Daphnia pulex: one gene and its partner. The protein of the gene in region 1 purifies or fractionates together with the protein of each later gene. This does not show direct contact. Links are inferred from orthologs where the notes say so. Each region holds a gene or a part of one and is shown on either strand. Other genes may lie near its edges. The genes, in order: chromatin complexes subunit BAP18-like and nucleosome-remodeling factor subunit NURF301-like.

Evidence for each region.
Region 2: the proteins of chromatin complexes subunit BAP18-like (region 1) and nucleosome-remodeling factor subunit NURF301-like purify together in Homo sapiens (affinity purification with mass spectrometry; 5 studies listed by BioGRID and IntAct, with this or other methods). This does not show direct contact. The link is inferred for Daphnia pulex from reciprocal best matches to the Homo sapiens genes BACC1 and BPTF.

The regions. Positions count from the first base shown.
Region 1 is NC_060025.1:6,894,729-6,911,156, forward strand, and holds chromatin complexes subunit BAP18-like, read left to right. Parts: upstream 1-6,745; 5' UTR 6,746-6,847; intron 6,848-7,437; exon of another isoform or gene 7,438-8,139; intron 8,140-8,202; exon of another isoform or gene 8,203-8,647; intron 8,648-8,716; exon of another isoform or gene 8,717-9,419; intron 9,420-9,474; exon of another isoform or gene 9,475-9,629; coding exon of another isoform or gene 9,630-9,869; intron 9,870-9,939; coding exon of another isoform or gene 9,940-10,695; intron 10,696-10,755; coding exon of another isoform or gene 10,756-10,788; exon of another isoform or gene 10,789-10,867; intron 10,868-10,924; coding exon of another isoform or gene 10,925-11,058; exon of another isoform or gene 11,059-11,120; coding exon of another isoform or gene 11,121-11,602; exon of another isoform or gene 11,603-11,719; coding exon of another isoform or gene 11,720-11,817; intron 11,818-11,889; coding exon of another isoform or gene 11,890-12,181; intron 12,182-12,244; coding exon of another isoform or gene 12,245-12,252; exon of another isoform or gene 12,253-12,478; intron 12,479-12,640; exon of another isoform or gene 12,641-12,734; intron 12,735-13,255; 5' UTR 13,256-13,330; coding exon 13,331-13,379; intron 13,380-13,444; coding exon 13,445-13,505; intron 13,506-13,568; coding exon 13,569-13,670; intron 13,671-13,737; coding exon 13,738-14,011; 3' UTR 14,012-14,049; downstream 14,050-16,428. Other genes in the region: transcriptional coactivator YAP1-A-like, read right to left, coding at 3-139, 2,504-2,967; nucleolar protein dao-5-like, read right to left, coding at 4,063-4,124, 4,195-4,249, 4,316-4,657, 4,723-4,836, 4,902-5,012, 5,087-5,185, 5,296-5,474, 5,533-5,687 and 2 more; inositol 1,4,5-trisphosphate receptor-like, read right to left, coding at 9,630-9,869, 9,940-10,695, 10,756-10,788; heat shock protein 83-like, read right to left, coding at 10,925-11,058, 11,121-11,602, 11,720-11,817, 11,890-12,181, 12,245-12,252; H/ACA ribonucleoprotein complex subunit 4-like, read right to left, coding at 14,108-14,164, 14,337-14,474, 14,534-14,678, 14,739-14,842, 14,909-15,148, 15,213-15,373, 15,434-15,683, 15,878-15,993 and 1 more. UniProt on the Homo sapiens protein: Component of chromatin complexes such as the MLL1/MLL and NURF complexes.
Region 2 is NC_060023.1:9,231,161-9,246,331, forward strand, and holds nucleosome-remodeling factor subunit NURF301-like, read left to right. Parts: upstream 1-5,270; 5' UTR 5,271-5,699; coding exon 5,700-6,383; intron 6,384-6,440; coding exon 6,441-6,816; intron 6,817-6,876; coding exon 6,877-7,097; intron 7,098-7,161; coding exon 7,162-7,447; intron 7,448-7,514; coding exon 7,515-8,497; intron 8,498-8,563; coding exon 8,564-8,708; intron 8,709-8,767; coding exon 8,768-11,063; intron 11,064-11,133; coding exon 11,134-12,832; 3' UTR 12,833-13,115; downstream 13,116-15,171. Other genes in the region: probable aminoacyl tRNA synthase complex-interacting multifunctional protein 2, read right to left, coding at 1,474-2,007, 2,116-2,507, 2,574-2,811, 3,118-3,300, 3,366-3,491, 3,559-3,684, 3,748-3,906; phosphatidylinositol-glycan biosynthesis class X protein-like, read right to left, coding at 13,171-13,693, 13,761-13,924; cytochrome P450 3A14-like, read left to right, coding at 14,460-14,536, 14,603-14,699, 14,760-14,909, 14,972-15,088, 15,167-15,171. UniProt on the Homo sapiens protein: Regulatory subunit of the ATP-dependent NURF-1 and NURF-5 ISWI chromatin remodeling complexes, which form ordered nucleosome arrays on chromatin and facilitate access to DNA during DNA-templated processes such as DNA replication, transcription, and repair.

The DNA of each region.
Region 1 (16,428 bases):
ACCGGCAACTGGCGCCGTAACGGCACTGAGTAAAGGTGGAGCTACCATGTTTGGTGGAGGAGCCGGTGACAACGGCTGAATCTGTTGCTGCAGTAATTTTTTCCGTGGATCCTCCCATGTTGTTGTTTGAGTCAGGTGACTGTAAAGAAGAAAAAGAAAAAACACATCAGCAAGATGAAAATCGGTAGAATGTCTGACACGTAAATAACAAATTATTTGACAATGATAAACGGCAACGCTAAACACACGCGACTAGACACAATAGTCTAGGACAAACCTGACTGAAATTGTTCGGTACCATGTTGGAAAGACCTTGGATTTGTTTCACGCTAATAGAATCAGATAAAAGAGGGAGGGAGGGAAGGGGAATAATGTAAGCAACAACACACTCGGTCACATGGCCTTGGGAAGTAAAGAAGAGTAAAACGGAGAATACGGAAAACGTACTAAGGTGGGCAGACCGTCCCCGATCCTAACGTCGTTCAAGCTTGTTTCCGCCTCTCATGGGCAAACGCACCTAAATTTGCACGGACAAGGTCGCTTGTCGAAACCGGTAGCATTGCACAAAATGACAACTAGTTCTAAATCCTGGCGCCCAGAAATGAACCAACACATTCATTTTAATGCGGATTCATATTTTTTTTTTACCTGGACGAGCTTCATTTGTACGATTAAAAAAGCTTAAATAAACAAAAGAAACTCGTATTCCAGTTAAAAATGTTGATATTTTTCGAAGAGAATACTTTTTTTCATGAGGGATTTGGAGTTTCTAAGGATGAATTGAGAAGCCGTGGGAATTCCATCCATAAAAGGTTGAGTCGAGGGGGAGAGAGAAACCTGCTCCGTGTGCAGATTCTCCTTCCCAAAAATGGCGAGTCCAACCAAAGGCGGATGATAGGCGGTTCGCGTTGGCTCGGATCGAATCAACGAGCTCATGAATTAAAGAACGAAGATGGGCTTCACAAAAGGCTAGCATGGAACCCAAAGGACAGAAAAGCAACCCTCACGGAGAAAAAGAAAAGAACAAAAAAATTGGTCAAACAAGTGGATAGATAACGTACATACGGAGGAGAAAGTAGAGGAGAAGATGGAAAGGTCAGCCCATAGCCACAGGTAAGAATGGATCCAGGAAGAAGAAAATAGTTGGATAAAAGCTCGGAGACAGAGAAAACGGCTCCTCTCTTTCGCTGAGGGTCTCAATAGAGATGGCGGGAGGAGGGGGGACTCGTACCCAAGGTCACTATAAAAGAACAAGGTATTCAACAATAAGCAACCTAACCCACCAGCAGGAAACGTAGAGATCCCCCGTGCTTCGCTATGCATTCTCTCTCTCCTAAACACCACAGGCATTTGCCCCCGTCTCTTTCTTTACAGGTAAAAAGAAGAAGAAAAAAAAAATGGTAAAAGGTAGGAGGGCATTCCACAGACCTTTTTTCTTTTTACTTAAGGCCAGTATACATTCCATCGTGGTAAATTTGAGTTATTCAGTTGAGAAACTATGAGATCTCAACGGTTGTTCGACGAACCCTTAAAAATACGCGATTTGGCCAACCCCAACACACGTATCAGATGGCAAGAGAAAATATTCTAGTAGTCGGGCATGACTGTATGTAGTTATAATTTAATAAATAAGCAATCAGTTTTCGAGATGTGAGACGAATGAGGCGCCGTAAGTTGAGAAGGAGGGGTTGAAACGCAACAACCTCTAAAGAAAGCGTTTCTCGCTGTCGACAAGAGACTAAATCTTAAAATGGTTACCAGAGATGAAGTGGACCTAGCAACCATTCATTCAGAGCTAAACAAAACTTTTATCTTTCTCTACAAAAAAATATACATGCTACACACGAAAAAAGAGGTTTTTCTGACAGTAAAAACAAAATAGGATTCTGCAACTCACAATTTCATCGTATTTTCTCCCAAGAAAAAAGGTGTGGTTGCAGAACCCAATTTTCTTATGTCAAAAACTCCTAAGTGTGAAAGCAGCTTTACCCTACTGAGGGATGGTTGCTCCATAAAGGCACGGCCCGGTTCTATTTTTGCAGTTGAGATAGCTGCTCCAAACTGCGTCTCGACAGCGGCAAACTCCGACCCCTCCTCACGCTCTCAACTGTCCCGTTCAACCTGCGCATTTTGCTCAAATCGGCCACCCCTCAAGACTTTTTATGTAGTTCCTATTGCTTCTCCTCGCACTCTGAATCCGCCACCGTTTAATAATAGAACGCCATGACTTTCGGGTCCACATATCGCAAGCAGAATTAGCTAACCTACCCCGGCGCCTGTCCTTCACTTACGCCATCACTCAATGAACGCTGGCTGAGTAGTGCTTTTGCAAGGTCGCTTTCATCGAGGCTATATGCTATTATTCAATCGTGATGTACGACACAGTTTCAATTCGTGGGGACAGACGCAAAATATTTGCAACTTTACTATTTCACTAAACTTTGAGCTTGTAACTGAGGACTAGATCTAACTTAAGAAGTAAATAAATGAAAAGAAAGATTACTTTAAAAAGTAGACTTGTCCTTGAGGTGTCTTGGCTTGTTCCCATCCTTCAGGAAGTGGGAAGTGATCGAGAGTTAAGTCACAACTCTGTTGCTTTAAGTGCTGATGTACTGGTCGTTGTTGACCAGCTGCCAAAGTCTGTTGGAGTGAGGCTGGAGAGCTGTGTGCTCTCGAATGGTGAATATTGGCTGATGGTGAAGGGTTCAAAGCAAAATGCCCAGAATCTGTGCTGTTTTCTCTGCTGTGTGAATTAGATGCCACAGAAGGAGACTTTGATCCAGTTGGAGGTGGTTTGAAGAAAGAATCTGGCAGATTTCGCAACCGAAATGGCAGCTGCAATGGTCTGTGGGCATCAGGCTTCAGTACGCTGTCAAACAAGGCTTGTAATTCGGAATCAGAATCGCCACGAATGTGTACGATTTGATTCCGTTCTTTGTGCTCGACCACTTCGGGATTTTTTGACATTTTAATGATACCAGAACTTTCAAGCAGTCGAGCAGATAGGATAGGTAAGGGAATTACAATATGCTAAACAAAGAAAGACAACAACTAAGATCATAAAAAATGAAAAAGGTTAACTCAATAATCAGCCGACACACCCTTCCACACAAAAGACAGTCTGGCGAGTAACTGATGCACCTCATCTATGCAACTAGGCAAAAGCCGGAAGGTGGCAGGCTGGCATATCAATTTTTTCAATAACAAACTCGGACGCCATCTTCCGACTATAATTCATTTTACCTGATACTTGTTTTTTCTTTTTTTTTACAATAATTTTACATGATCTAGTGTTTCAAATGCTTTTTTTTTATACAAAAAGCAAATTTCCACAATTGAATGCAATACGAATGAAAATTATTATCGAATTACTAGTAAATAGAGAAGCAATGAACCTTTTCTTCATTAAATAATTTAGCTGGAAGTTATCGCAGCAAACTGTTTTTAACGTCGGTCATAGCAATAATCTTACACAATTTATGGTTTTCACGAATGACTATGTTTTCTTGTTAATTTGCAAACAAGACGGATAAGGTTTGTATGTGTATTATGCTTTTGAATTTCTCAAATGGTCAAGGATTGAAAACATGCATAGGGATGGAAAAACACGAACCCCGATGTGAAATTGTAGAAGAACATGTAAGAGAAATACAATCAACCTGTCCAATCAATCTCTCCTTTTTTCCACAAAACTAAAAGCGAGAGAAGAGATAAACGAACTTGCATCTACCATCACGCACCATCAGAATCGTACGACAACTTCTTTTCAGATTTTTCAAAGCAAACATTTAAACCGAGAACTTCCAGTAAAATGAGTACAGCGATCAATGATACCATTCAACAACTGGCACCTTGCGGATGGACTCTACGTCAACTCCAAAACGGCGCGTAGGATAGTTTTTTATATCCCGCAAAAAGGAAGAAAAATAAAATAAAATAAAATAGAAAAATGTCGCATTTGTTTTGCTATCGCTTAATTCATTCTTAATAGCTTAATTCATTCCGCAGTGTGCACGCCAGCTTTTGATCCCTTATCTTTAAAAGCTTACTTTCCCGATCAATTTAATCAATGAAATGAGCTTTGAGGTACTTCATCATGCCGAATGTACGAAATCTCTTAACGCCTATAAATTGTAAAAAAAATAAAACTCGTTAGAAATCACAGATTTTGAACTAGAACGGAAATGGCTTTACCAAAAACTTTCTGTAATTGTTCGTCACAAACCGCAAACTGTTTGTTCTTGGGATCCTAGACAAAATTTTGAATAAAACATATCAGTTATTGGTTCAATGAATTATTTGACATGAAACTTACATATAGGTTTCTTTCCTTGATTATAGACCACATTTTTTTTACAACTTCCGGACGAGGCATGGACTCGGTTCCCATAATATCTGACAACTCAGGACTAAGTTTAACAGCTTTTACTCCTCCCTTTGGTGTTCTTGCTTTAGCAGTCGTAGAACCTTCTCCTTTCTTGGCTGGGGTTCCTCTTTTCTTTTTGGAGGCTTTTTTCCAGTCTTCATCGGAGTCATCGGGATCCGAACTATCAGCACGCTTCTTCTTACCGCCGACAGCCCCCCTTCCAGCACTACGACCTCTTTTTTTCCCAGGAGACTTCTTTCCTGGACTGTACGACTCATCACTACCTCCATCCTATATTTTACAAGAAATATTAAAATTTTGCGTCAATTCATATTTGGTTTTACTCTCTAACTTACGCTACTTTCGGAGTTTTCTTCGTCAAACTCTTCGTATTCACTGCCAGACTCTTGTTGACGTTTCTTAGGCGTTACTTTTTTAGGAGCAGTATCACTTTCTTCGCTGTCCTCGTCCTTGATTAAAAATGGAGAAAAAAAATGTAAGAGATTAACTTCTTTCCAAATTCTTCTAATAATACCACTGGGACGGGTTTAGATTGAGGCTTTCTTCCACGGGGTGTCGGTGCTTTTTTGGGGGGTGGTGCTGGGGCAACGTCCGATCCCGATTCTTCCTCAGATTCTTCAGATTCCTATATCAAATTGAAAGTTTATGTTTTGATTTCTACGTAATCGAATAAATCAGGCAATTAAATAATAATCGTACCGCTGACTTCCCCTCCGAATCACTAGATTTGGTGATTGGGGCTTTGGATTTCTTTTCTTCAGCAATTGATCGAGCAGGTCGCGCTTTTGTTTTTGCTTCCTAGAATATCACATAACAAAACTGGAAATTAGTTGCAGTTATTTAAAAAGAAAAATTTACATTCTTTTTTCAGGTTATCAGTTTCTAAAGAACATTTCTTCATCACTTACAGGGCTTTCCGATGGTGCTTTCCGGGCAGGCTGGCGCCTTTCTTGTTGTCTTGCTGGTCTTTTTTTAGGAGAAACTTCTTCTTTATCAGGTATGTACTCATCTTCATCTTCATCATCTTCCTCTTCTTCTTCATCATCATCTCCTTCACTTTCTGAGTTTTCATCCTCTTCATCCACAGCTTTTGAAAAACATGAAAATAAGAAAAATGAAAATATGTGCACAAATTAATTTCTTACATTGGTCCAGTTTTGCAGGTTTCTTCTTCTTTGCTGCAGGCTCTTTATTAGATTCCTCTTTGGCATCTTCTCGTTTACTTTTAGGGGATGTGTCATCTTCTATATGGGGTTTCTTTTCTACTGCCTCCATGACCATTTCATCAATTTCCTTTTTCCTGTGAAATCATAAAATTCATTTGTGGTAAAAATAATGAATATTTTACTCATCTACAAATATGCCTAATAAGACATACTAGTTTTAACATGAATATGTTTGAGTAATAAAATAAGGAAAAAGCAAGCATGCCTAATGTCTCCATACCTGTCACTGAGGTCGAATTTTAGTTTTTCCTCCAACTGTTGCCGAACTTTTTTAGAAGACAGTGTGTCTAAATCAGCCCCTTCAAGGATGCCTATAAAACACATGACATGATAAAACAAGAATACAAAACATTCAATAAATAGCGATGATGCTGATGCTAAGTCACCAGCGTGCCGGCTTTCAAAGATTTGAGGTCTTTTGATAAATAATATGAAAAAAAGGATAGTTACCATCAATTTCTTTTCTTAAGTCTTCTTTACTTATATCAGCCATGCTCATTAGAAAGCCTTAAGAGAAAACTAAACAAACTATGTAAAATTCACAGAGAGTCAAAGTCTCAACAAGAACTTTTGTTCGTACAGTATAGGTACCCTAACATCCAAGCGTTACAACAATTGACCGGAGCGCTCTCATGCGGGGTTTTCTGAAACAGTTTTTTTTTTCTTTATGAAATTGAAGTCCGAAATTTCAAATCTTTTTCAAATAAACATGTAAAGTTTTATTTAAAATATTTTCGCGTTGTTTAGTTAATATAAAACAAGACAACATATGACGTATGACAACCGCCATGAGAACAATTCTTTTTATTTAATTTAAAATTTTTACAAGTTGGTCCACAGATAAAGTTAGACTAGAAACTTGTCCTCAACGCCTCTGGACGTAAGTATCAGTACTAAATATTCGAAATGACAAATCCAAAAAGCGCACTTCTTATCAATGAGTGTTTTGTCTCGTTTTCTCTGTTCTCAGCTTGTTCACAGTTTCACACAAATGATCAATCATGGATTCATAAATGATTTTATCACAATATTTAATGCGTGCTAAAATTACAGTCAAATTTTTAAAATATTACGATGGCTTGTGTGTCGAATTAAACTAAAAATATTAGGCTATGCGTCAAAAATAAATTATCGATATATGTGTTGATCGATATACATATCATTTAGCTTAAGTGCTACGGGGTACTCTTCCCGCTTTATTTTTGTCAGACTTTCAGTTTTGTGCATCCTTCGAATTGTGCCTCGCGCCTAGCGTCGCCAGTTTCCCTCCGGGACTTTGGGGTTTAATTTAAATGAGGGAGTGTGCATAATAAATTTTGGGGGGTTAGGGGTAAGGTTATATATATAGGTTAAGTATTTTTTCGCGCAATGTAGGGTGATTGCTCGGCGCTTATTATAGACATCATTTTGGGGTGTAACTGTAATCCAGGAGCACGCCTAACTTTTTTTTTTGTTCGGTTACCTTTTGACCAGTTTAACAACTTGTATCATTTGGATCCCTATCATGTTGGAATGGAAGCCATTTAATGCAACTTTAAAGCCGGAATATCTAGGCAACAAATTTTGTTTTTTAATGAAGAGAGGGCAGAATTTTTTTCAACTCGCTTCAACTCACTTATAGATTAGCGAAGTGTGATTTATGGATCAACTTAGTTGAGTAGCCTAGTGAATTTTTCCACGAATAACCAATTCCATTCGTCATCATTTTTCTACAATCATTTCTCATGACCAAAATGTTAAGCTGTATGTACCGCTTTTCTATTCGAAACTCGGTGTCGTTGGATAGCTGTCACAAGCAGGGGTATGGAGAGAAATCGAACAAAGTTTTTATATATCAAACCGCGATTGGTTGTATTAAATTCCAACTCTTAACACGTAGTTATACAATGCCAGGAATGAGGGAGCAACGCAAATTAAGTAAAGCCATGATTTTAAGAAAATAAGACTAGTTTTATCATATGAATGCCCTCATTTCAGTTCGCAAAAACGCTGAAATAAGAACAATTGAGAGAAACTGAGTTTGTGTTTTATAACAGTAATTGACACGTTTAATCGCCTTTCTCCAGCGAAAAGCATTTTCATCATTCTCCAATGGCGGCATTTCTTCTTCGGCTTCTTCGGCTTCCTCACCACCAGCAGGGACATCATCTTCATCGATACACAAACCCAATTTGATCATGCGGTAGATGCGAGATCAGAAGCATGGACGGCTAGCTCTTCCAGGGAAAAACCAGATGACAGCAGAGGTTTCAAACAGCAACATGAAGAAATCCTTGACGGCTTTATCGTTTTTGTCAGCCTCTGCTTTGACGCGCAGGGCTTCGACGATGGGATGGTCGGAGTTGATTTCCAAGTGCTTCTTGGCGGCCATGTAATCCATGGTGAAGGTATCCCTCAAAGCCTGAGCCTTCATGATACGCTCCATGTTGGCTGTCCAGCCGTACTGGGAGGTGACGAACTGACGATAATCTGGGAGACTCGACCAACGGTTGGAAATAACGACCATCCCGACTTTCTTGTCCGTTTCTTGTGGCAAAAATAAAAGGATTTCAATATGGAACATAGAAAAGTGTCATGAAACTGAAATACCCGATGATGGAGAACATGTAGACTAGGATGAGAGCCAAAACGGCAGTGAGAACGATGGACCTGCCGTTTCGCGTCACTGAGCGGATTACGTTGAGCAGCGTCTCCTCGCGGTAGACGACGTCAAACAAAAGGACGGAGAAGAAGAACGGATGGGTGCTGAGTCCGAGGAAGCAAAAGATGAGGTAAACGACGTGGTAGACAATCTCCGTGTCCGTGCAGATTTGTCTGACGCTCCGCTGAAATGTCCCGGCGTTGCCCATGATGCTCAGAAAATGGACGCCCTTCAACACTACCGTGTCGGTGCCAAGGAGCATCACTGTGGGTTAAGGGCCGGCTGAGCAAATAAGCCGGAGGATGACTGTCATGACGAGAGTCCTAATACCCGACGGTTTGGTTAACGTGATGGCCACAGCGGCGGATAGGAGGATGACGGCCCAGATGAGACCTGAATTAATAAAGGGAAAAGATCGTTGAAAAGATGGAAATGGGAGTCACTGTTTAAAGGTGTGCAGACCTGACAGGTGAGTGCGAGGATCAGGAGCCGGTCCGTCAGTGTCAAACGGGTAAAAGAAGGCGACAATCAGGTTGATAATGACGGCCAAATTGAAGAGGATTTGACTCCAGATGGACATGTGCGAGCTGTCCCAAAAGAGGAACGGCTGTCTGCGCAATTTCTTCTACCATTTCATCTCGTCAAACATGTCGTCGACTCCTTCGAAAAAGGCGGCCACTTTCGATCCCTGGTCGTCGCGCTCCGCCGTGTGGAAGACGCACACTTTCGTGTCGTTGATCAAATACTCGCACATTTCCGCTCCGGAATGGGGAAGACAATCTGCTCCATCGTCCGGTCGTGACGGACAATTTATTTCGATTTGCGCCGTGTGATTGGCGTAGTACTGCAGGGCCGCATCACCGCTGACTCCGTCCACTGGCGGCGGTTTCATCAGGGCGGCCAATTCTTTGTTGTGCTGCGCCAACTGGTGTCACAAAATGTAAATGTTGTGGCCAACTGGCGACTTCTTTCGGATTGGCCGCCTCTTCTCCACCGACCAACTTTTGGTGATAGGCTTTGCAGGCGACGTCCACCAATTGGCGAGGATTCATGTTGTACAGGATCCTTTCCACGTTCTCGCTGTCGCCACGACTCTCCATGACGGCCAGCAACAACTTGGAGGCGTTGTTTTTCAACTCCAAAACAAGATCCATTCTCCGTTGTCCTAAATAATTGATCAAATAATTATTAGAATCAAATTAATGAAAGGAAATTGTTACCTAATGGATTGATGTCGGTAAGAAGAAGAGCCGTGATGATGTCCAGTCCATTCGACTCGTGAGTGGCGATGCAGTTTTGGTTTTCGTGACAAGGTCCTTGGCAATATTCCGTCAATGTTTCCAGGGTTTGGTTGATGAGGGCGACGTTGTGCTCATTAATGTAGAGGCCGAGCAGACCCAGTTCGCCCGTCGTCGATCCGCAAATGCAGTCGAGGAACATGAGTGTCGTCTGACACTAAATTGTAACTTTTTTTGTTGGACTGGGCCCGCAAAAAGTTCTGCAGGTCTCGATTGTGATTCTCACACAGCAACTGCAGGAAGCGGAAGACGGGCAGCATTACCAGAACCTTAGCCGACAACTTGGACTCCATGTCCGAATCAGTTGCCGTAGTTAACTATAAGGGCGAATTCAATTTATTTTTTACAAGAATTTTAATAAAATCACGAATTCAAGTTTTGTTGTACCGATTTGGGTTGTTGTTGTTGTCTCACCAAGTTCTCCAGCGTCAAGTTGACACTACTCAACGTCGTTGTAGTGGTAGTCGAATCATCCAACCTGGAGCTGTTCCACGAGTCACTGTAAGGATCCATGCGCTCCCCTACAGTGACGTTACCGTTTGAAGCTCTTGTGGACATCATGCGTTGATGTTTCATCTTCATGTCGTACGGGAAATGATCCTTCATTTCATGGGAATGGTCCTTGAGCTTGTTGTTACCCGCCGAGGCCATTTCGATCGTGTTGACCGACATGGTGGACTTGATTTCCGCTTGCGACTCTCTGACTTTGTCGTGGAACACCTTGAAGAAGATGGCGCTCGTCTCGGCCGACTGCAATTTCGTGTAGAGACTCCGCTGGATGACGGGGTTGCCGCCTTCCAGCAGAGCGATGCCCAACTGGACCGCTTCCATGAAAACGTTGGGCAACAACGACGACTTCATGACCAATTCGGCCACCAAATCAGAGATGCCTTCTCGGTCCAGGTACACTTGCACCTCGGGCAAACACATTTCACCTCGCGACAGGAGACGTCCTCCAGGTCCGTGGGTTGTCAGCGATGACGATTGTCCCACACAAACTCCAACACCAGTACCACCAGATAATGTTGAATGAATTCCAGCACCAGAGATTCCGCTTCCGCCATAGAGCTCGGTCTTTTTAGAACTATGAGAGGCTGGTTTGGCAAAGTAGCGAACTAAAAGATTCTTTCTCAATGCGTCTCCCTGGTAATAATTGATTCATTAAGGTAAATTTATTGCCTCAAATTTTAATAGAATGATTACCTTTTCGCCATTGTGAACATCGAAATTCATCATCTGACGTAAGGTGTTGAGAACTTGGATGCAAAGTTTTTCCTCCTTGTCCTCCAGCAATCGTTCGGTGTGTTTAATCAATCTTCAATAAAAATAAATTCCAAGTAAGATCAATGGTTAACATAAATACAAGTCAAATTTACCTGCGAATGAATCCGCCATTGTCACACTTTTTCTGTGCTTCCGTGCCAGGCTGGAAAAGGTATTCCGGTCGGTAAAGGACATCGACGATAACGGAAGACTTGGCTTGAACCAAAGAATGCAGTTGAGCCTCTAACAAGACGACAATGTCTTACAGGCCATCAATAATTGTCCGATCAAAGCGGACGCTCAACTGTGACTGCGAAGATTCCCGACTGAAGACGCTACGATCGAAATATTTTGCTGGCCTTGCTGGCCCCCAAGTGTAGGGCTGGTTTGTTGAAGAGCGAAGTCCAAGATGTCCTTTATGATTTTGCAGAGACCCTCGAATTTGGCCTTGTCGCTCTCGCGTTTCTTGGTTTCTCCATCATCTTCGGGGAGTTCCAGACCCTCCTTGGTGACGGAGACGAGCTGCTTGCCATCGTATTCCTTGAGCTGCTGGACGACGTACTCATCAATGGGCTCAGTCATGAAGATGACCTCCAATCCGCGCTTCTTGCCACGCTCGACGAATGAGGAGTTGCTGACTTGTTCTCTGTTGTCACCAGTGATGTAGTAGATGTGTTTCTGGTTCTCCTTCATGCGGGAAACGTATTCCTTGAAGGAAACCTGGTTTTCTCCAGAGGCGGAAGTGTGGAAACGGATGAGGTCAGCGATCTTCTTGCGTAGGTAGAATCTTCATGGACTCCCAACTTCAGGTTCTTGCTGAATTGTTCGTAAAACTTTCTTGTCGTTCTCATGCTTCTTTTCCTCCTCCTCAGCCTCATCGTCGCTCACTTTCTTGTCGCGCTACTTCTCAACCAATAGCTTGATTGGGTAGCAAATGAACTGTGAGTTCTTCTTGACAACCTCCTTGACTTTCTTCTCCTCCAGGTAATCCATCGGATAATCCTGTCAATAATGAAAAAAAAAATACAGGCATGAGCATATTGGAAATTATGCCAATGAAGACAAAGAACATACCTTCAAGTGGAGGATAATCTTGGTTCCTCTACCCATGGGTTCTCTGTGATCAGGCTTGATGGTGAAAGAACCACCAGCTGACGATTCCCAAACATACTGCTCATCATCATTGTGCTTGGAATGAACTGTCACCTTGTCGGCAACCAGGTAAGCAGAGTAGGAACCCACACTAAACTGACCAATCATGGAGATGTCAGCTCCGGCAGAGAGGGCTTCCATGAAAGCTTTAGTTCCAGACTTGGCAATAGTACCCAAGTTGTTAACCAAATCAGCCTTGATCATGCCGATACCACTAAAGAGAAACAGAACAGTCAAATTCGTGTTCAAATAGGAGGAACTAAATTTCTCAACTTACGTATCCATGAGAGTGAGTCAGCATTCTTGTTGGGGACAATCTTGATTTTAAGGTCCTTACCGCTGTCCAACTTGCTTGGGTCAGTCAGGGATTCATAACGGATCTTGACTAGGGCATTTGAGGAGTTGGAGATCGACTATAGAAGGTGTTGATAATCAAGCTCATAAGCTGAGCAATCTTGGCCTGGGATGTGAAAGTCTCAGCTTCGTCTTCCATTTGAACTTCTCCAGGCATCTAAAAAGGAAAAGGAAAATATTTCAGTAAGAAATGTTTGTCAATTGTGGTAGATCACACTCAAAAATAGAAATTCTACATATATCTATGGACTTGAGGCATATCAAAAAATGTGTAAATAACCAATTTGTTTGTCTAAACCAGTACAGTAGTAAAACTTACTTTGCTTTAAAACGTAAACAAACAAACCGGACGCTTTTCTGTTCACGTTTGGTGGGGATCTACATGTATACAAGGCCGCCGGGCAGTCGTAAAAATTGCCACCAAATTCGCTTCTTGTTAGGCCTGCAAACTATAGCTTTTGGGTTGACACACATCAAGCCGGGAAAGTGAGCCCGTTCGACTTTGAATCGCTGTGTAAAAAATACAGCTATTAGTATATCTTCATGTGATCCATTTTGAAGACCTTTCTTTGTTTAATCTCTTTCATACAAAAATTTTCGTGATTTGTAAGACATTTACGTAAATTTTGTGTTAATGTTTAGTGGCGTTTTGAATTTTGCAGTTTGAATTGCAGCGGTGGCGTTTCGAAACTGAGCCCCGTTTGACTTAGAATCGCTGTTTTAAAAAATAAATCTATTATATCTTCGTAAAATGTGATCCATTTTAAAGAGATTTCTTTGTTTAATCAAATGCCTACAAAAATTTGCGTGATTGTTGTCACAATTACGTAAATTTAAGTGTCTAATTACTGCAATTGAATTTTGCAGTTTGAATTGCAGCGGTGGCGTGTCAAAACTGAGCCTCCTTCGACTGTGACTAGAATCCCTACGGGAAATTATGTTTTTTTATACCAAATAATTGACTTTGTGGTGAATTTTCTGGGTTAGTTGTTTGTAAAAGTGCACAAGAATGAACTCTGCTAATAAGGTTGCCGATATATTTGGAGCTGCAGGATTAGGTAAAATACACATGGTGTATGTAGGTAATTGTTGAATGAGTGATTTCAGCCATTATTTTTCTTAGCTTTCAGTACGTTGGGGAAATTGACCATGCAGCTACATTCCTCAGAAAATGCCAATGCTGGGTAAATAATTTAAAGTAATTTACTTTTGTAACACTGTTGTATTTTTAATTTTTTCTTATACAGGTCAAAATGGAGTGAAGATGAAATTGAAATGTTGAGAAGTTCCATTAAGCGCTTTGGAGAAGATCTTGAAAAGATTTCTGAACATATTAAAGACAAGACAGTGTAAGTTGATTGCAAAAATCATATGTCAGTGTTCAAATTTCAAATTTTATTTGCTTCTATTTATTAGGACACAAATTCATGGTAGTTTGAAGAAAAAAACTTTTGAGGCAGCAGGTATTCCTTTGTCCAAAGTCATCAGCCAACCAGTTGTTCAACCAAGTCCACTCCAGAATATTAATTCAAGTCCTCAGCAAGCAGTTGTAGTTGTTCAACAACAGCCCCAAATGATTAATAACAAGTCAACAGCTGAAGTGACATTGAACATGTTAAATGCCTCTGAAAATGAAGTTGATGTTGAAGGGTTAAATTTTGAAGGAGCAAATGAAGTTGTCACATCTTGAAACTTTCTGATAAATTAATACACAGCATAAAAATGAAATGAATTGTATTTTCGAATTTTCTTGCAAACATAATATTACAAATTATTTCAATTATAATTAATCATCTTCCCGATCGACATCTTTCTTTTTCTTTTTTTTCTTGGCAGACTCCTCCTAAATAGAAATATGTTCACATTACTAATGCATACCAAATTACTCGGCGAATAATATTTGCAGTATGTTTTCATTTAGGTAATTTTCGTCAGAAATATTCCGTTCACTACTTTCATTAAATAATCACGACACCTTTGTTTAAAAAAAAAATTAATTGACAAGTTTAATTTACCTTGATTGTTGATGTGTCCACTGCAATTGAAAGGTCTTCATTTTCAGCTGTTTTATCTTTCTTCTTCTTTTTCTTCTCTTTGGTTTCAGGAACCGATTCTACGGTGGCATCAAGAATGCTTTCATTACCCTGCGGCTCCTGAAAATCATCCATAAATGATTAAGACATCATTATTTCACAAGAGTATAAACACTTACCCGGTCTTTGTCCTTTTTCTTCTTCTTCTTCTCCTTGGTTTCCGTCATGGATTCTGACAACGGATCAGCAACGGCGCTCGTTTCACTTAACTTTCTTTTTCGTGCCTCAGCATCTTCAGTTGGTTCAACCTTTTCTTTTTTAACGCTACAGAAAAATATAATATTATTGAAAAATTTGATACAAATACTGCGTTGAATTACATACTTTAGGTCTACATAAGATGTCAACCAATCTTTAGGTGTCTTGTCATTAGGTTTGCCAAACTTATCCAAGAGTCCCTGTTTCACCATACCCTTCTTGACGGAAGCCTAAAATTAAACAAATACATACATATACATACAAGTAACGCCAATGTAAACTATATCAATTTTTACTTTAGGTCCAAGTCCCCATTTCCTGGGATAAGTGTCACGCTCCATGACAACACGTTTAATTTTGGCAACAATACCATGGTCACATGAAGCCATGGTTGTTGTCGTCATCAAAGCAATGGCGAGAGCCACTGCTTCTCCTTTGGTTGTTACTATAACAATCTCTTCATTTAGTTCGATACCATTTTCGTACCGCAATACACCAGGCAACATGATTTTAGCTCCATAGCAAACGGCATTAACCTGTTATATATTTTTTTAACACATTATTATAAAGAATATTATAGATAAATATTAACACACTTACAGCACTGTCTTTCATGATTATTCGCTTGTGAGACATCATCAATGCCTCTAATGGACGAATAACCCGCCGCAGATATGTTTCGTCCTTATGATTATCATGTAACCACTGCGCATCGATTACATCGTGCATAGTCATTAACCCTTCTTTTTCACTTTGGATACCTTATAAAAAATAAAATCTTCATCTTAAGAACACACACAAAAAGAAACTTCCTGGCTTACCAGAACGAACTCTTCTGAGTTCCGCCATCTGAGCTCCTACGCCTAGCACCAAACCGAGATGGACACAGTGGGTACGAACGTAAGTTCCGGCTTCACAGCTAACCCAATAGATACCCATTTGTCTCTCGGCATCGTACTCGTAAAATTTACTCTCGTAAATGGTTCGCACACGAAGTTGTCGCTTAACAGCCGAGATCAGTGGTGGACGCTGAAACAAAGCTCCAGTCAACTTCTCAAGAGCTCGAGGAATCTTAATAAATAAAAAAAATATATACAAAATTAGTATTTATAAAGATCAAGTTTCTAACTTAAAAAATTAACAGAATTCAGTTAAATGCTTCATTATCTTTAATTATCTTCAGTCATTTCAGTCCACTACTTTCGATAAATTAATCATTAGCATCTTTAGCATAAGGCTTTCAACTAGAAGGGTCAAGAAACTACCTGATTGTTATCTTCAACTGCAGAATGAAGCTTAAATATGGCAACATACTCTTTGCCAGCTCCCTGCTGAGATTTGACCAGCCTTGTAGCACGATCAATGCAAACAATCAAACACCCTGTATAATATTCAATTAGTAAAGTCCATGGGATTTTCTGAGTGCTATCAACATACCTGTAACTTTAGGGTCCAATGTTCCTGAATGACCCGTCTTTTCACATCTTAGAATCCTCTTAATCCAGGCAACTACTTCGTGAGAGCTTGGGTTAGATGGCTTGTCAAGATTAATAAAACCGCCATGAATATAATCTTTAATTGGCCTCTTCAATGGTGAACAACCACTTGGAAGAGGTGTATAATGATTTGTCCTTGTGTTTAACTTGTCAAAATTCTGAAAAAAAAAGATGATTTAGAAAATGTTCACATTTCTTAATAAATAACAAGGGAAAAATTAATATCTATAAAGATCAAGTTTCAAACTAGAAAAATTTTAAGAATTTAGTTTTAAATGCTTCATTATCTTTGAGTGTCTTCAGTCTTTTCAGTCCACTAC
Region 2 (15,171 bases), on another chromosome or scaffold:
TCCGTTATTATGATTATGATGGGCTAAAGCTCTTTTTTTTCTCCTAGATAATGCTGCGGGCCTTTTAAATGGTGAGCGGCGATTGATACACAGCAGCAGCAGGAAGAGATTTTCGATCTGTTATAAAACACCTCAAGGCTCCAGCCAGCTTCAATTACATTGTAGGTCGAGCAGTTCTACGAATTTAGATATTACCAAGGAAAAATTCGATTTGGTTGAGAATAAAGACAATAGAAGCGGACTGCAACAGAGTACTGCGAGCAATCTACTTTTTTTTTTTTACTATACACGCTGAGTCGACCACCTGGACATGTGGCGGCAGATCAATCAGCAGGTGTTACAACCCTCGTAAATCTATTTCTTTTTTTTTTGGGTTGTTTGTAACCTCGAGCCTAAACAGCCGAGAAAACAAAATGGCTTCAATGTCTAAATACAATAAAAAGGGAAGCTTTAAAAAAGAAAAAAAAAAAGCATTTCCATTTTTGAATTCAATAGATTTAAAGTGCCCGCTCGCGCGTCAAGAGTCAAAACGACTGCTCTCTTTATGGACTAAGACTCTCTCTCTCTCTCTCAGTGTTCTCGACCGGCCATTCAACTAGCCTCAATAGGGCCATACCATCTGCCCTGTTTGACGTCGATCCCGAGTATAGCCCAGTCTATACCTGACTGTGAATAATATAATATAACCCGCGCGCCGCCAGGTAGTGGTAGCATCAAATGTGTATATAACACAGTCGAGGAACATCAAACATCCTAAAAAGAAGAATATGGGAGCACTACTATAAAGCAACCTCAAACAAAAATGGTTCGCTATCATCACGCTGGTTGGGCTGCGCTTATTTGCTTGCCGCCAAGTGAGAGCCGTGAATTATGAACCGACGTGACTTGGTCGTAAAAAAGTTTTTTCTTTCGGGTGTTTGCGTGCAGCTCTATACGAAGTAGTGTGTTATGTAAAGCCCAAAAGGAGAGAAACCTAACCGAGAATCCCGCCTGCATGCGCCTGACTGACCTACTCACTGGGCGATTTTTCGGGGAAAAAGAAGAAGAAGAAAGATGGCAGCCAACGGTGTCAATGGCCCTGATCTCTTAAAAAGTATACATTAAAAAAGAGACACGGACGGCCTTCGTGAGAAGAGAGAGAGAAGCCCACCTAAAATTAGCTTAAATGAGATTTTTCATTCAAAACTCGCGCGCGCGTGATTTGGACGGCGTGAAAAATTGAACAAAGATTTAGAAAACTGATGGATGGCAGTGTAAACTAACTACGAAGAAATTTTTTAAATTTGTGTTACCTGGTGAAACCAATCAGGTAAAACTATAAGAAGTGGGCAAGAGAATGAGGTCAATTCCGGGAGGTGATGCTGGGTGTATTCATTACTGCACAGTTTGGTGTTGTGTCCTACGACACACGAGAGCGTCGCGGCGGCATCAATACATTTTTGCACATAACAGCAAAAGAGGAGTGGCGTATATTCAGAGTTGAATGATGACTGGCTCGTGTCCGGTTGCCTTGAGAAATACTTTGAATCCGGCGACGGTGATGCTAGTCGTGGCCTCGTTGGTCATTGGGTGAAAGTTCAAATAAGAATCTTGACCGTCGCTGTTCTTTTCGCTCCAAAGTTGGCCGTCCAAAACAAAAGTGACTCGATGCTCCTGGGCGTCGTTCAACAAGGCGAAAGGCGTCACCGATCCTTGCTGCACGCCTAGACTCGCTTCGAGCGTCTCGGCGTCAGCGAATCGGAGCTCTTTGGCGCCAATAACTTTGGAAATTTGGCCAAGTTGGACGGTGGCGTCGTGACGAGCGGTGATGAGGTACAATTTGCTCGTTTTCTTGTCCTTCACCAAAAGATTCTTGGCGTGAAAGCCGACTAAATGCGAAATATGTTCCATCATAGCTGCCACGGTAAAGACGGCCGGATGCTCGACGGTCCGAAAAGCGATGCCAAGTTCCAGTAGATATTTCTCCAAATTACTGCGCTTGCTGTCTGATGGCGACGTGGTAGCGTTCTGTTGACGTACAACAACAACATCCATAACATGACGCGTGTGCGAATACATATCACAATCATCAATTCCCGGAAGAAGTAAATTTGTTTTTTCTGTTATTCAATTTACCGCCTTTTTGACGGTGGATCGGCAACGGTCCATCCAGGAGCGGATATGCGTGCCAATCTCCTTCTCCGTGCAAGAGTTCACCAACGCTGAATAGACTACAAAGTCTACTACTCCGACTTGGCTGCCTTCGAGAGATTTATTGGTGGAGAGAGTTCTTTCCAGTAATTGCAACGCAGCCGCCCGATCTCGTTTCAATCCTCGTGCTCCCAGGGGCGCAGAGCATTCCGTCAGGTCGAGATAGTGGTCGATTTGAGCAGCCTTCAACGGTTGGCTTTCGTAATCCAATAACCCAGGCAACAGTCTAGCCAAATATCGGGCAATATTGGCTTCTCCTTTAATGGCTACACCCTGAGATGAGGGTGACACCATAAGGGAAGGCTCTTCGCCATCATCTAGATTTGTAATAGTCAAATTATATTAGACAACGAGCATTGATAAGGACAACAATGAAGACATACCTTTAATCCAGATTAGAGTTATCGCTACGTGAGCTTTGGATCGTTCAACACGTGAATCAGAGTATACGAAAGATTTAAGAGTATCATCCAGTAGTTTGTGTCCAGCAACCGTCGAATGGACGTGCGTCCTGGCGTAGACGGACATGCCGAGCATTTCCATTCGTTGCTTCAACAGCGGCAGTGAATGCGGAGGATTAGATGGGCTAGCTTGGATCACCAAATCTTGGAAGTTTCGAACCTTGAAAAGATAATTAATTGGCTGATGTTATTAAAACGTTATTGGGTTAGCTGCTGTTAGACATGCTAATATACAAACTGAAAACGGCGCACAGGCAAAAACAAGACAACTAAAAAACCTGATAAAAAGGATCAGGACTTATATTATTAATCCATGCTTACATCAAACGGTTATTTATGTGGGACCAGGATAATCTCACGCTGTTAGTCTGACTGGAATAATTGAGATGGAGTTAAAAAAAGAGATGCAATTTTGTCTCAAATTCGTTTAAAAAACATTCGGATTCTAAACTCGATTTTTTTTTACCCCTGATCCTACAATATCTGTCTTCTCAGTACAGCACGGGAGCTGCGGAGTAATGGGCACCTTGCCATTATTGTTATTATTGTTCAGTGCATAACTGATGCTTTGAATCTCATCATTGAGTTCTCTGATACGCTCCAGCAAGGACCTTTGCTGCAGTTGCAGAACAGTGGTACTGGATATACTCTAGTGGAGGGAATAAATTAAGGCAATTGCCTCAAAACAGTCAAAAGCAGATTTCAATGAAAAACCTGAGGGTCATCCATCAGCGCCAATCTCGACTTGAGCTCAAAGAGTGAAGTCATGAGGGAAGAAATACGAAGAACCAGCAAATCCTGCTGGACTGCCAGTGTCTTGATAGTCAATGGTGGAGCCGGCTGCACCACAATAATCAATTTTTCCTAGTAAATGTAATAATGGCAGGAATGAAACAAAAATTCTTACCCCAGCATCTACGAAGGAAGACAATTCAGACGCTGAACCAGTTTTAATTGCAGCAAGTTCAGATTGAAGTCTCTGAAGTCTGGAAGTGATCTCTGTCCAACGTTTTTCCAGCTCTTCCACCTCGCACTGTAATTACAAAAATATAAAGAAAGATGACAAAACGAACTTGTTATTTTTGAATTTTTTTACGTTGTTGGAAGTTGCGTCATTCTGAGTGTTTTCCCCAGTCCCGTCATTATTGGCAGCAATATTGTGATTAAAATGGTCACTGATTTTTTTCATTTTATAGACACAACTCGGATGCGGAGTCTCCACTACCGACTTAAATAAAGGTTGCAGCTTGTACATCCTACCTACGTATATTCTATTTAAAATTTAAAGGAGGAAATGAGAAGACTGCGATTGAATAGCTTCGAGCCTTAGAAATGTGGTCTATTTTTATCATGGCCTACTATAGTCACGGCCCATCATCGTACGCTTCTGTGTGGGACCAATTTTGGGTTCCCTGCCCCTTCCCTGTTGCCATAGTACATAGCCAGAGGGTCGTAAGTATCGGTTTTTGTTCCACATTTCCGCAGATTCTGTGTCTGGCTTGCATAGTGCTATGGTCAGAGTCGACTAAAAGTATGCGATTGACAGTCTAGTGGTTAAAGCGGTAGATTCCCACTAGAGTGGTATTAGGATCAAATCTATGCAAGTCATAATCAATTTTTCATAATTTTTCCTTGTTTTTTCTTTATTTTTAAAGCGAATTAGATGGAATGCCTAGATTGTGAAAAAATGCGAGTTTTTTCACATTATTTTCAACAAAATCTGAATTTGCTTTTTTTTCTAAGTCCTTGCCAAAGAAAACAAATTCAGATTTTGTTTTAAAAAATGTGAAAAAACTCGCATTTTTTACACAATCTAGGCATTCCATCTAATTCGCTTTAAAAATATAGAAAAAACAAGGAAAAATTATGAAAAATTGATTATGACTTGCATAGATTTGAACCTAACACCTCTAATGTGGGAATCCTCCGCTATACCCACTAGACTGTCCTTCAATTGCATTTAATCGACTCTGACCATGCCTGGATGCAAGCCAGACACACAGGCATGGCGACTTAAGCCAAAAAATCCCAAAGGGTGGAAAGAATCTGCGGAAATGTGGAACAAAAACCGATACTTACGACCCTCTGGCTATGTACTATGGCAACAGGGAAGGGGCAGGGAACCTAAAATTGGTCCCACACAGAAGCGTACGATGATGGGCCGTGACTATAGTAGGCCATGATTTTTATAATTTTTTTTAGATAACCAAAGTCGTCTGCTATTTGAACAGCGACGCCTGGCCGTGATTAGACAAACTACTAACAAACTCTTACTAAGCGTGGTGATACTAAATTAGCATAACAAAATACAAGAAAAAATGTTACATCTAATAAGAATTTTTGAGAGTGCAACATCATTTTTATGGAAAGTTTGAATATTCTCTAAAGATCATCGATAAGCAATCGATTTCCAAAGTTATCGTCGAATCATTCTCACTTTCTCAGTTCTAATTAATTCTTAAAAAACTCTTCTTTAACCTCTTGAAACATACAAAACAGACAAAAAATTAGTTAAAATCGACATTGATTGACAAAATTCACTTTTGAAAAACAAAAATTTGAATTTTGGTTGCTATGAAAGACTTTTAGTGATTGGTTTCAGTTTTCGACCAATCCCGCTAGAGTTAGTTATGGCTTAAGGCCCCCTTTCATTCCCTCCCGCCTATTTCTCTCTCGTAGCATCTCAGAGCAAAAAACTCTGAAATTTTTTTGTGGCGTCACCGGGGCCTAAAACACTTTCAAGTCAACGTATTTCAACCGTTCAATTGTTCAACGTTTTGTTTTAGAGTGTTTGGCACAATATTAACTGTCGTTGTGAGTGTGAAAACTATTTTCGTGAATATTCAGCAGGCAATATCTGAAAAGTCACGTGATCAAGATGGCCGTTAAGCCTTCCGCGTACAACACTACTACTAGGTGGTAGTGGACACCGTGGGAAGTTTTGGCGCCCTGTCAACCTTGTTTATAAACAAGCATACTACTGCCGGCCTACTCCAGTGTTTCAGCTGGTCATTAATCCTTTGTTAAAAGTGTATCCCACAGTCGATAATGTCGTCGAGAGGCGGTAGGAGACGCGGGAGGCCGCCTAAATCATCTTATACAACACCACACTTCCTAAATTCCCGATCGAACGTTATCGAGAAGCCTAAATGGTTTTTGTCTCGTGATGGAGTGGCTAATGACAATGGTCCAACTGGGTCTAGAGCTAGTTCACCGGGAGGCAGTGTGGGGAGTTTCACACAACAATACAGTGCCAAAAAACATATATCAGTAACTCCATTCAAGAAACGTGGAAGGAAAGCGGGTACAAGAGGCAACAGAGGTGGCAAAGCATATGTGCCTAGGCCTTCGTTGGTCATTACCAGGGGTAATGATTATCATTATGGCTCAGACTTTGACTCTGGTAGTGATTCTGATGGGCCTCCGAGCCAAGGAGAAGATGCAGAGTTGGATGTTGAGAGTGACGTGGACATACCAATTAGCGAGCCAGAGAGTGATGAACTGGATGATAATGCCTCAGATATCTCCATTTCTAATCAAAGTTCCTCAATGCGAAAAATTGTTGAATCCAGTATAAAGTCTATACCCACTCCACTCCCTATTTGGCTCCAGTCCGATCAAGATTTACCAGTGTTGACTCTACCCAAATCTTCTGAAGACCTTCTCTTGCCTACACACCAAGTGCTACCTGCTTGCGCGATTTACGAAGTCCTACGCAAGTTTAGCAGTGAGGTTGGTTTGGTTTTTATTATGAATAATTTTCCCTGGCTAATCAATCTCTCTGCGTAGGTGAGGCTCTCTCCTTTTCGACTCGAGGATTTCATGGCCGCTCTTCAATCGGAAGAAATGACAACTCTTTTGGCGGAAGTCCATGTTCAACTCTTAAAGTCCATGCTTCGAGAGGAAGACGTACAACAAACTTGGTTTGGACCACTGGACCAGAAAGACAGCACAAATTCTGTGTTAAACTTTGCCGACACGCTGACGTGGCCAGAAGTCATGCGGATATACATGCAGAGTGACCCGACCTTTGCACCTGCACTCTCTTTACTTGAATCCTGCGAATATCCTTTTACTACCTGCGACGTCCGTCTGAACCTCCTCAAGTTTCTTACTGACCATTTTCTCTGCAATACGGCTGTCCGACAAGAGTTCCTTAGCGAGGGTAACATTTTTTAAATCATTTTTATGGTTTTAAACATACTAATTCATCTTTCATCTATAGGAAACATCAAATATAATGACCATTGTCGAGTTTGCCACAAAGTTGGAGATTTGCTCTGCTGTGAGACATGTCCAGCCGTCTATCACCTCCACTGTCTCGACCCACCACTGGAGCACGTTCCAAACGAGGATTGGCAGTGTCCTATATGCACGGCCCAACTATGCAAAGGAGTAACTGATTGTATAAGTGATGTTGAACGATCCGGTTTTCTCTGCCGACAAGTAATTATCCTGAAACCCAATGCTGGCGGATGAATTCCTTTTTAATTCATGTATTCTCTTTTAGGAATCTTTGGGCTACGACCGACACGGACGCAAATACTGGTTTATTGCCAGACGGATCTTTGTCGAAGAAACTGGCAGCCGGGAAGAAATTGACGGAGATGAAGAAACTATTGCCGTGGAGGACCGTAAAACTTGGTACTACTCCAGTCCCCATCAGTTTGAACAGTTGCTTGCAGCTTTGGACAAGACAGATTTTGAAAAGGCTCTTTGTCAAGAACTATACAATCTAAGGCCGGAAATATTGAGGCAGATGGCTCTCACGATACAGCTGACAAACGAGAATAAAGGTGAATAATATTTTAATCTACCTAATTTTATTCATAAAAGACGCTAATCATTTGTTATACATTTTAGGCAACAACAAATCATATCTCGAACTTGACGAAGAAGTTGCAAGGGAGGCCTCTCAGACGGTCGTCAAAGTTGAAAAAGAAGAAGATGACGAGGCTGATGAGAACCTCTCTGTCGATGCAATCAAAACAGAGAAGGAAAAAATAGAAACTGAGGAGGTTGTGGAAGAATGCGGTGTGGAAGTGGATGACGATTTCATGCAACAATTGCATGTGGAATCTGAACCTAAAGTAGAGCCTGAAGAAACGCCTACTACCGGTACACCAACAGCCAACGGAACTTACTCTACGCGCTCCAAAACCGGCACCATTGTGGCACGCACCTATGTCGACATGAAACGGCGAAATTTAACAACCAACGGTTCTGGCGGAGTCACTATTAAGGAGGAAAGAAGTGGCACCCCTACCAAATCAAAATCTCAATCTCCTTTACCCTCCGACGTCATCTTTAAATTGGGCATGGAAGGACGGCACAAGACGTACGTCAACCAGTACACGAGCAATCCCCTCGCGCTCAACAAAAACCAGGCAGCAGAGGAGAGAGACCGCAAGCGTTACTTGTCGCACAAGTTCTCCATTACGGGTTGCGGCGAGTTTAAGTGGTTGGGCAGTACATTTGGCAACCGCACTATCATGCAGCAAACTGTTCGTTCCACCTTGCTCCAACTGCACTCTCAATTGCCTGCTATTTTCATGCATCCTAACTGGGCTGGGAGTATGCGAAAGTCTTGGATCCAAGCTGTCAATCAAAGCGTCTCGCCAACAGACCTCGGTCGTGTCCTCTCAATCCTGGTTGCGTGCATCCGCCCAGTTGTTTTCTCTTCCGTCTGGCACGAGTCACTTGGCCACATTCGACTTCAACGACAGACGGCCCTTGAACGTGAAGAGCGGAAGAAGGTGGACAAGAAGGAGAAGAAGGATAAAGAACTGGAAGAAGAGATGCATCGACTACACACCGTCCATTACACCAAAGGCCTCAAGCACCAGGTAATAGAAACTATTTTTATTTCTATTTGAATCCATATCTAATTGGTTTCACATTGTTTTCGACAGATCTGGAAGCACAAAGGTGAAGAGTTTCGTCTTCACGGTCAATGGGGTTGGCTGTGGTTGTCCGCAACTCGCCTTTTACGACGTCTTGATGCCAGGAAATGCGGATTAAGAGCTGGACCCTGGCGAATCATCACTTGTACTCAAGGTAATTTTGATGTTGCTTCGATTCTTTTGATGAATTTTAATGAATTGTATCATTAATAGAAGAAGGCTCGGAATCTCGCTACATTCAGTGTGATCCGGCATCTGGCGTCGAAATTTATGAAATCCCATCTTCTGATCCAGCGATGGAAGTTGTTGATGTTTGCGCTGCTATGAACGATACCAACCGTCGTGTTTATCCTAAAATCGCCAAGAAAGCCAAGTTAGATTCGTTGCTCGATTGGCGCCTCAAATTGAAGACGGCCGAAGAGAAAAATCTTCTCAAAACCGAAAAGGCCCCGCTGCCACTAAAAAAAGAGGAAGTCAACGTCACGAATCGCAAATTGACCATGGCAGAAATGGAAGCACGACTGGAACAACTACGAAAGCACCGGCTCACTTTCGCACGCTGCTATTCTTACAAGTGTGGTGGTGATAGTTGCTACTCTCCCACTTGCCGGGCCATCAAACCTCTAGAAGCTGCAATCCTGCAAGAGAAAGAAGAAGAAGCGAAGCAAAAAGCTGCACTAGTTAAAAGACGGATTTACTCGAACGAATCGACGCAGGGTCCTCTACCACTAAAGCGTGCTGATGACGAAATTCGATCTAAAAAGAAAAAGGCGCCTGTGAAATACCCGATGATGTCCAAATATATGACAAAGAGCAACAAACGGACCATCTTCGTCCTGCCCGATCACGAATTGAAGCATCTAGCCCGACGTCACGGTCAAGGATACGTTCAAGGCTTCCACCACGGCCCAAAGAATAACTCTCCGGCTTGGATCTACCCATCGGCCAGGCCGTTGTTCAAGAATGTCTGGTTTTTCCGCACAAACGGCCTCCAGTCTTTGAGCACGTTCGCTTTGCAAGTTCGAATCCTCTGGGCGTGTCTCCGTTGGGAAGAAATGGTGACCAAAGCTGGCAACATGGGCATGGACGGTAAAAACCAAACGACCACCGACACGGAGATTACCACCACCGATATCTTGAAGCATCGTCACATCGGGCGGTTTCTTGAACGCACACAGTACTTTCAACGGCGTGTGGTTATTCCACTCGATGTCCCCAAAACGGTCAGAGAAGTCACTCCATCTCGTTCCGGATTGCGTAAGCGCAAGATGGTGGAAGCGCCCAAATTGTCGCAACCCATTGTCACCGAGGAATGGGTGGATGAAGATCGCTTGGAACTTTGGGTCATTAAGCAGTACCACGAGCGTATCGAAAAAGCCGCTGCGATGGCAGCTGCAGCTAGTACGACCACCTCTACACCTCACCTTACTCGACTCAAGAGCACACCACAGACTATGGGACCTGGAGGTAAACCTATGACTATGGAGGAACTCAAAGCTCAGGCCGAACAGCAGTTGCGCGCCCAACGTACTGCCCATCAACTGAAGAGCACCACTCCTGGAACGCCAACTGGTGTTGTCCGTCTAACTCTTCCCGCCGGAAACAAAGTTATGTTGCCTGGAAACAAGTTGCTGTCTACGCCCTCTGGGGCCACTGGAAGTCCTATGGGCCGGCGCATTCTCATCACCAAAGATGGTAAAACATCTCAAGTTGTTAAGACGACGGTGGCTTCACCTTCAGGATCTGCCCAGCCTGTGCTAATTGCTCCTAGTCCTGGCGTCGCGGCTGCTACACCTACCGTTAATAAATTGCAAATCTCTCGCGGTCCCGACGGCAAGATTGAAATTCGTGGCTTGAAACCAGGCCAGCAACTTCTGAAACTAAGCGATGGCCGCTTTACGATCGTTTCACCTGCTCAACCTATGATAACCGCCCAACCAGCGCCAGCTCAAGCACAGACCCAAGTCCAACCTGCTGCAGCCAGCGACGGAACAGGAACCAAAACTGTTGTTGTTCAAAAAGCTGTAACCATCGCTGGTCAGAAAACAACGAGTCAAATTGTTCTGCCGGCTGGTACCAACACTGCAATGCTGGCTCAGCACCTAGCGTCTGGAAAACTTCAGCTAAGTTCAGTCAACGGTCAACAGGTTATTATCCGACCAGCCGCAACTCCCGCTTCCGCTGGTTCAGCATCCGTGGTCAAAACGGGCGATACACCAACCGTAGTCGTGGCCGGCCAACAGCAGCCAGCTAAACCCATGATGCAAGTGATACAGACGGCTCAAGGTCAGAAGATAATTGTTCAGAATCTGCAAGGTGGTTCCCTTACTCCCCAACAACTAGCTGCCATTCAAGAACAGCTCAAGGGACAGATGATGGCTCGTACCAATCAGCCAGGAGGCAACAACAAACCCATCACATTTGCTGTTCGGACATCAGTGGCTGGCGCAACCGTTGCTACAGTTTCTACAACGGCTGCTGTTACCACTACCGTCGCTCCGACTTCTACGTAAGAATAATAATAATTTCATTTGACTAAATATCAGTTTTTAACATTTTTTCTTGTTATTCATTTATAGCGAAACGTCTACGACGCCCGCTGCCGTTGTTTCGACACCCGCTGTAGCTGCTGCTGTCGCCACCCCCACAACGCCGGCAACCACGACTGGCGCTGCGACTGTCACGGCAAATCAAAACAAAGTGGATGAACCGTATACTGTTACTCCCGACTATGTCGTACAAGCGCTCCGCAATTCATTGAAGGGAGGAAATCTTCATCCGGACCTTGAGCAGAAAGTGTTGACGCGCTTGCGTGAGCAGGAGAAAGCGAAAAGGGATGACGCCGAGGTGGAGACTCCTACCTATTTTGCCGCCTCCAATAGGAAACGGACGACGTCCGGTGCGTCTTGGATTGATGACGTCGATACCTCAACTGCGATGACCCCCGCAACTGGAACAGATAGTAAAACGATCAGACCACCGGCTCGCAAGATTGCTCGGGTAATTGAGGCCCCCAGCACGCCAGTCTCCTCCAAGATTGTCAGCGGGGCGACACCGGCTAACGATGCAGCTGCTGATTTGCGCGAGCAAAAGAACAAGGAACGTGCAATGAAGGCCGCTCAACGAGCCAAGGAGAAACGCCACCAGTCGACCTGTGCCCGTCTGCAGGGCCTGTTGAATAGAAGTTCCGAGTCGCTAAAGAAGGAAATTCTGCGCAAACGTGCCTCGTTGGAAAAAGAATTGCGATCTGCCATCACGAAGGAGATCTCAGCGCTACAGTTGCCTTCGCCAGTTCGACAAGCTCCTGTCGCAGTCTCGGAAAATCAAGCGGTCGTCGTTAAGAAAAAGGAGCCAAAGTTGCAAGAATTGCCCGTTGTTCAACCCAAAGCCACACCTCGACGGAATCAGAGGAAACGCAAGTTATCATCACCGTTGAGTCCTCAAAAGACTTTGAATGAGCCCGAACCTGGCACTTCGCAAGATGAAGAGGACTATGATGCATCACCCGCGTCAATGCCACCGACATCCAAGAGGAAGTCCAAACGAACTTTGTCGGAAAGTGGATGCAGCGCTGGCGACAAGATAGAACTTTACTGTATCTGTCGCAAACCGTACGACAATTCCAAGTTCTACGTCGGTTGTGACTTGTGTACGAATTGGTTTCACGGAGACTGTGTCGGCATCACGGAGGCCATGTCGCAAACGATGACGGAATTTGTGTGTAATGGTTGTAAAACGGGAAAAACGGTGGCGCCTCGTGAACTGTTCTGCCTTTGCCGACAGCCGTACGATGACTCGCAGTTCTACATCGGCTGCGATCGTTGTGGAGATTGGTTGCATGGTCGCTGCGTCGGCGTTCTGCAAACGGAATCGGAGTCGATCGACGAGTACAAGTGCCCCAACTGTGAGCCGCAGGGAGCCTTCAACTACGCCAACACGAAGACCCTTGGCACTCGCGATTACGAGGAACTACGCAAGCTTCTACGGCAGTTGCAGACCCACAAGAGCTCCTGGCCGTTCCGTGAGCCAGTCGATGTCAAGGATGTCCCCGACTACTATCAAGTCATTAAGGATCCCATGGACTTGCAGATGGTTGAGACCAAGATTATAGAGAGACGCTACCAACGACTGGTGGAGTTTATCGGCGACATCACCAAGATCTTTGAAAACTGTCGCTATTACAATCCCAAAGGGTCCAACTTCTACCGTTGCGCCACATCCCTCGAATCGTTTTTTGTGCCCCGACTCAAATTGTTGCGCTCGTCCATGTCCAACTGAAGTTGCGTCATCGTCACCCATATCTCTTTTCAAATCGCCTCGTGTGTGTTTGTGTGTTACGTGTGAAACTATCTCGGAACTCTTTTTTTTTGGCTTGCTTGTTCCGCTTTTCTTACCTTGCACCCTAAATTTCTTTTGTGTCTTCAAAATTTCAAGACTCTTGCAACGTACATTTCCCCCCCCCCCCTCACTAGACTGACATGAAAAACAAAGTGTGGAAAGCGGTATTTATGCCCATATAAATTGCTGTTACATCTGCCGCAATACACAAAATCTTTTTGTATTGATCCGAGTACTGTACATTATTTATAAAACAAATTCAATTGCAACATTCATGTTCACTCTACTGCTGAAGACCAAGCAACAGAAGCAATTCCAATGAATGAAATTGCTATTGTAACAATTGTCACTAGTGGTGAATGAGACAGCGAACCAATTGGGACTAAAACTTGTTGAATTTGAACATGTTCAGGTAATGACTGCCACACACATTTATGCACAGCTGTCAAATCTATTGAAGCACAGTCACAAGAGAAATAGGTAGAAGGTGAGGATAGAGATGCTGCTGTATAATCATTTATGCTGCTAGGGAGATGATAACGCAGATGAAACTGGATTGATTGGGAGAAGCTGCAACTGCTCCCACATTGAAGGTGGGGCAAGCTGTGTAATGTTAAAGGTTCTGCATGATGTGCCATTTGTTCAATGTTGACATGGCTGGAGAAGCGAACTGTCTTGTTCATTACCGAAGCTTGAAGTTGATATGGGTCTACATAGATTCCAGAAGGAATCCTCCATTTTATAAGTACACTACAGCCTAGAAGAGAGGAAGGAAGAAACGAGGAGGACATTCGCATTTCCCTAAAAATAAAGTATACAATTCTGTTATTCTGTTAACGCTCTGTGGTGTAACTGTTGAACATCTTACCGATGAAAACCGTCTCCAGTCACCTGAAATTCTGAGTACGCACTGTTGAAATCTTCTACTGTAAATTCTCCATGAGCCAATTGAGTATTATTTAAATTAAATAGAATAGCCAAAAAACAAGATGTTATTGTTCGATTCATGTTTAGTTGTTTACAAACTGTCATTCCTGTTTTGACATCGTCTGCTAACGCCAGAGTTGTGGGACAGGGAGAAAATCCGTCCCGTTTTGTCTCAAAATTCAAACGGTTTCATTTTTAAATTCAGAATTGGAGCTTAGGCATTTAATATTTGCTACCACTCACACAATGCTCTACTTTCAAATTGCAGCAAAGTGTAACCTATTGTTAATTATCTTTAATATTGCAAGTTATTAGGCTACCATTTAGGAGCCGTAGGGCTACCTTCAGGGTTATCTTATCGGAATCTGCGTCTCTAATACAAATAACTCCAGTGCAAGTTTTATCTTTGTACTTGAGACTCAGATTTATTTAATTGTTTTGTTTTTGGTTTTGTACCAACGTCCGACAGCAGAGAAAATAATTTTATTGCTTCGTCACTGTAATATATTCGTCAGCACATGACGCAATAAGCTGTCCTCTAACTCAAATAGCACTCGACTCTCCAGGTTTACAACTTTTTTTCATAAAAGTAAGTATGATTTGCATCATACGTTCAGTCCTGCACAGCAACTAGTCCAAAATGGACGCATCGGGATTTCTCTCATCGCCCGCTACCTGGGTGTTAGCGATCTCCTCTTCTCTATACATTATTTACAGGTAGAAAAAAAGAAGAAGACTCTTTAAAATCTCTTTCTTATTGGTAAATCTTTTTTAATTAAATAGATATGCCACGTCCACATTTAACTACTTTTCCGACCAAGGAATCCCTGGTCCCAAACCGATTCCCATCTTCGGTAATATGTGGGGCGTTTGGAAAGCGGTGAGATAAATCAATCTAGGTTCTCAACATTTTAAAAATTAAATAATTGTTTTAATTTAGAACCTTCCTGCGTACGACTTGGCATTAGTGAAAAAATACGGAAAGGTTTTTGGTTATTTCGATGGCCCGATTCCAAACCTTTGGATCACAGATGCCGATGTGATAAAGGCGATGTACGTCAAAGACTTCGACCATTTTGTCGATCGCAGAGTAAGGAAAAATGCGTTTTACACAATTAGCCATGTAGTTAATTATGAATTGTTTCTTTTCAGTCTTTCGAGATAAAAACGAAAGTCATGCGCAAATGGTTGAGTCTAATGAGAGGTCAAGAGTGGAAGGACATTCGCTCGTCCGTTACACCTGCCTTTACCACCGGAAAAATCAAGCGAGTAATTCAATATTTAAAGGGGAAAAAAACAGGGGAAGAAATTAATCAACGGCTGTCGCTTTTTTTTTTATTATTATAGATGTC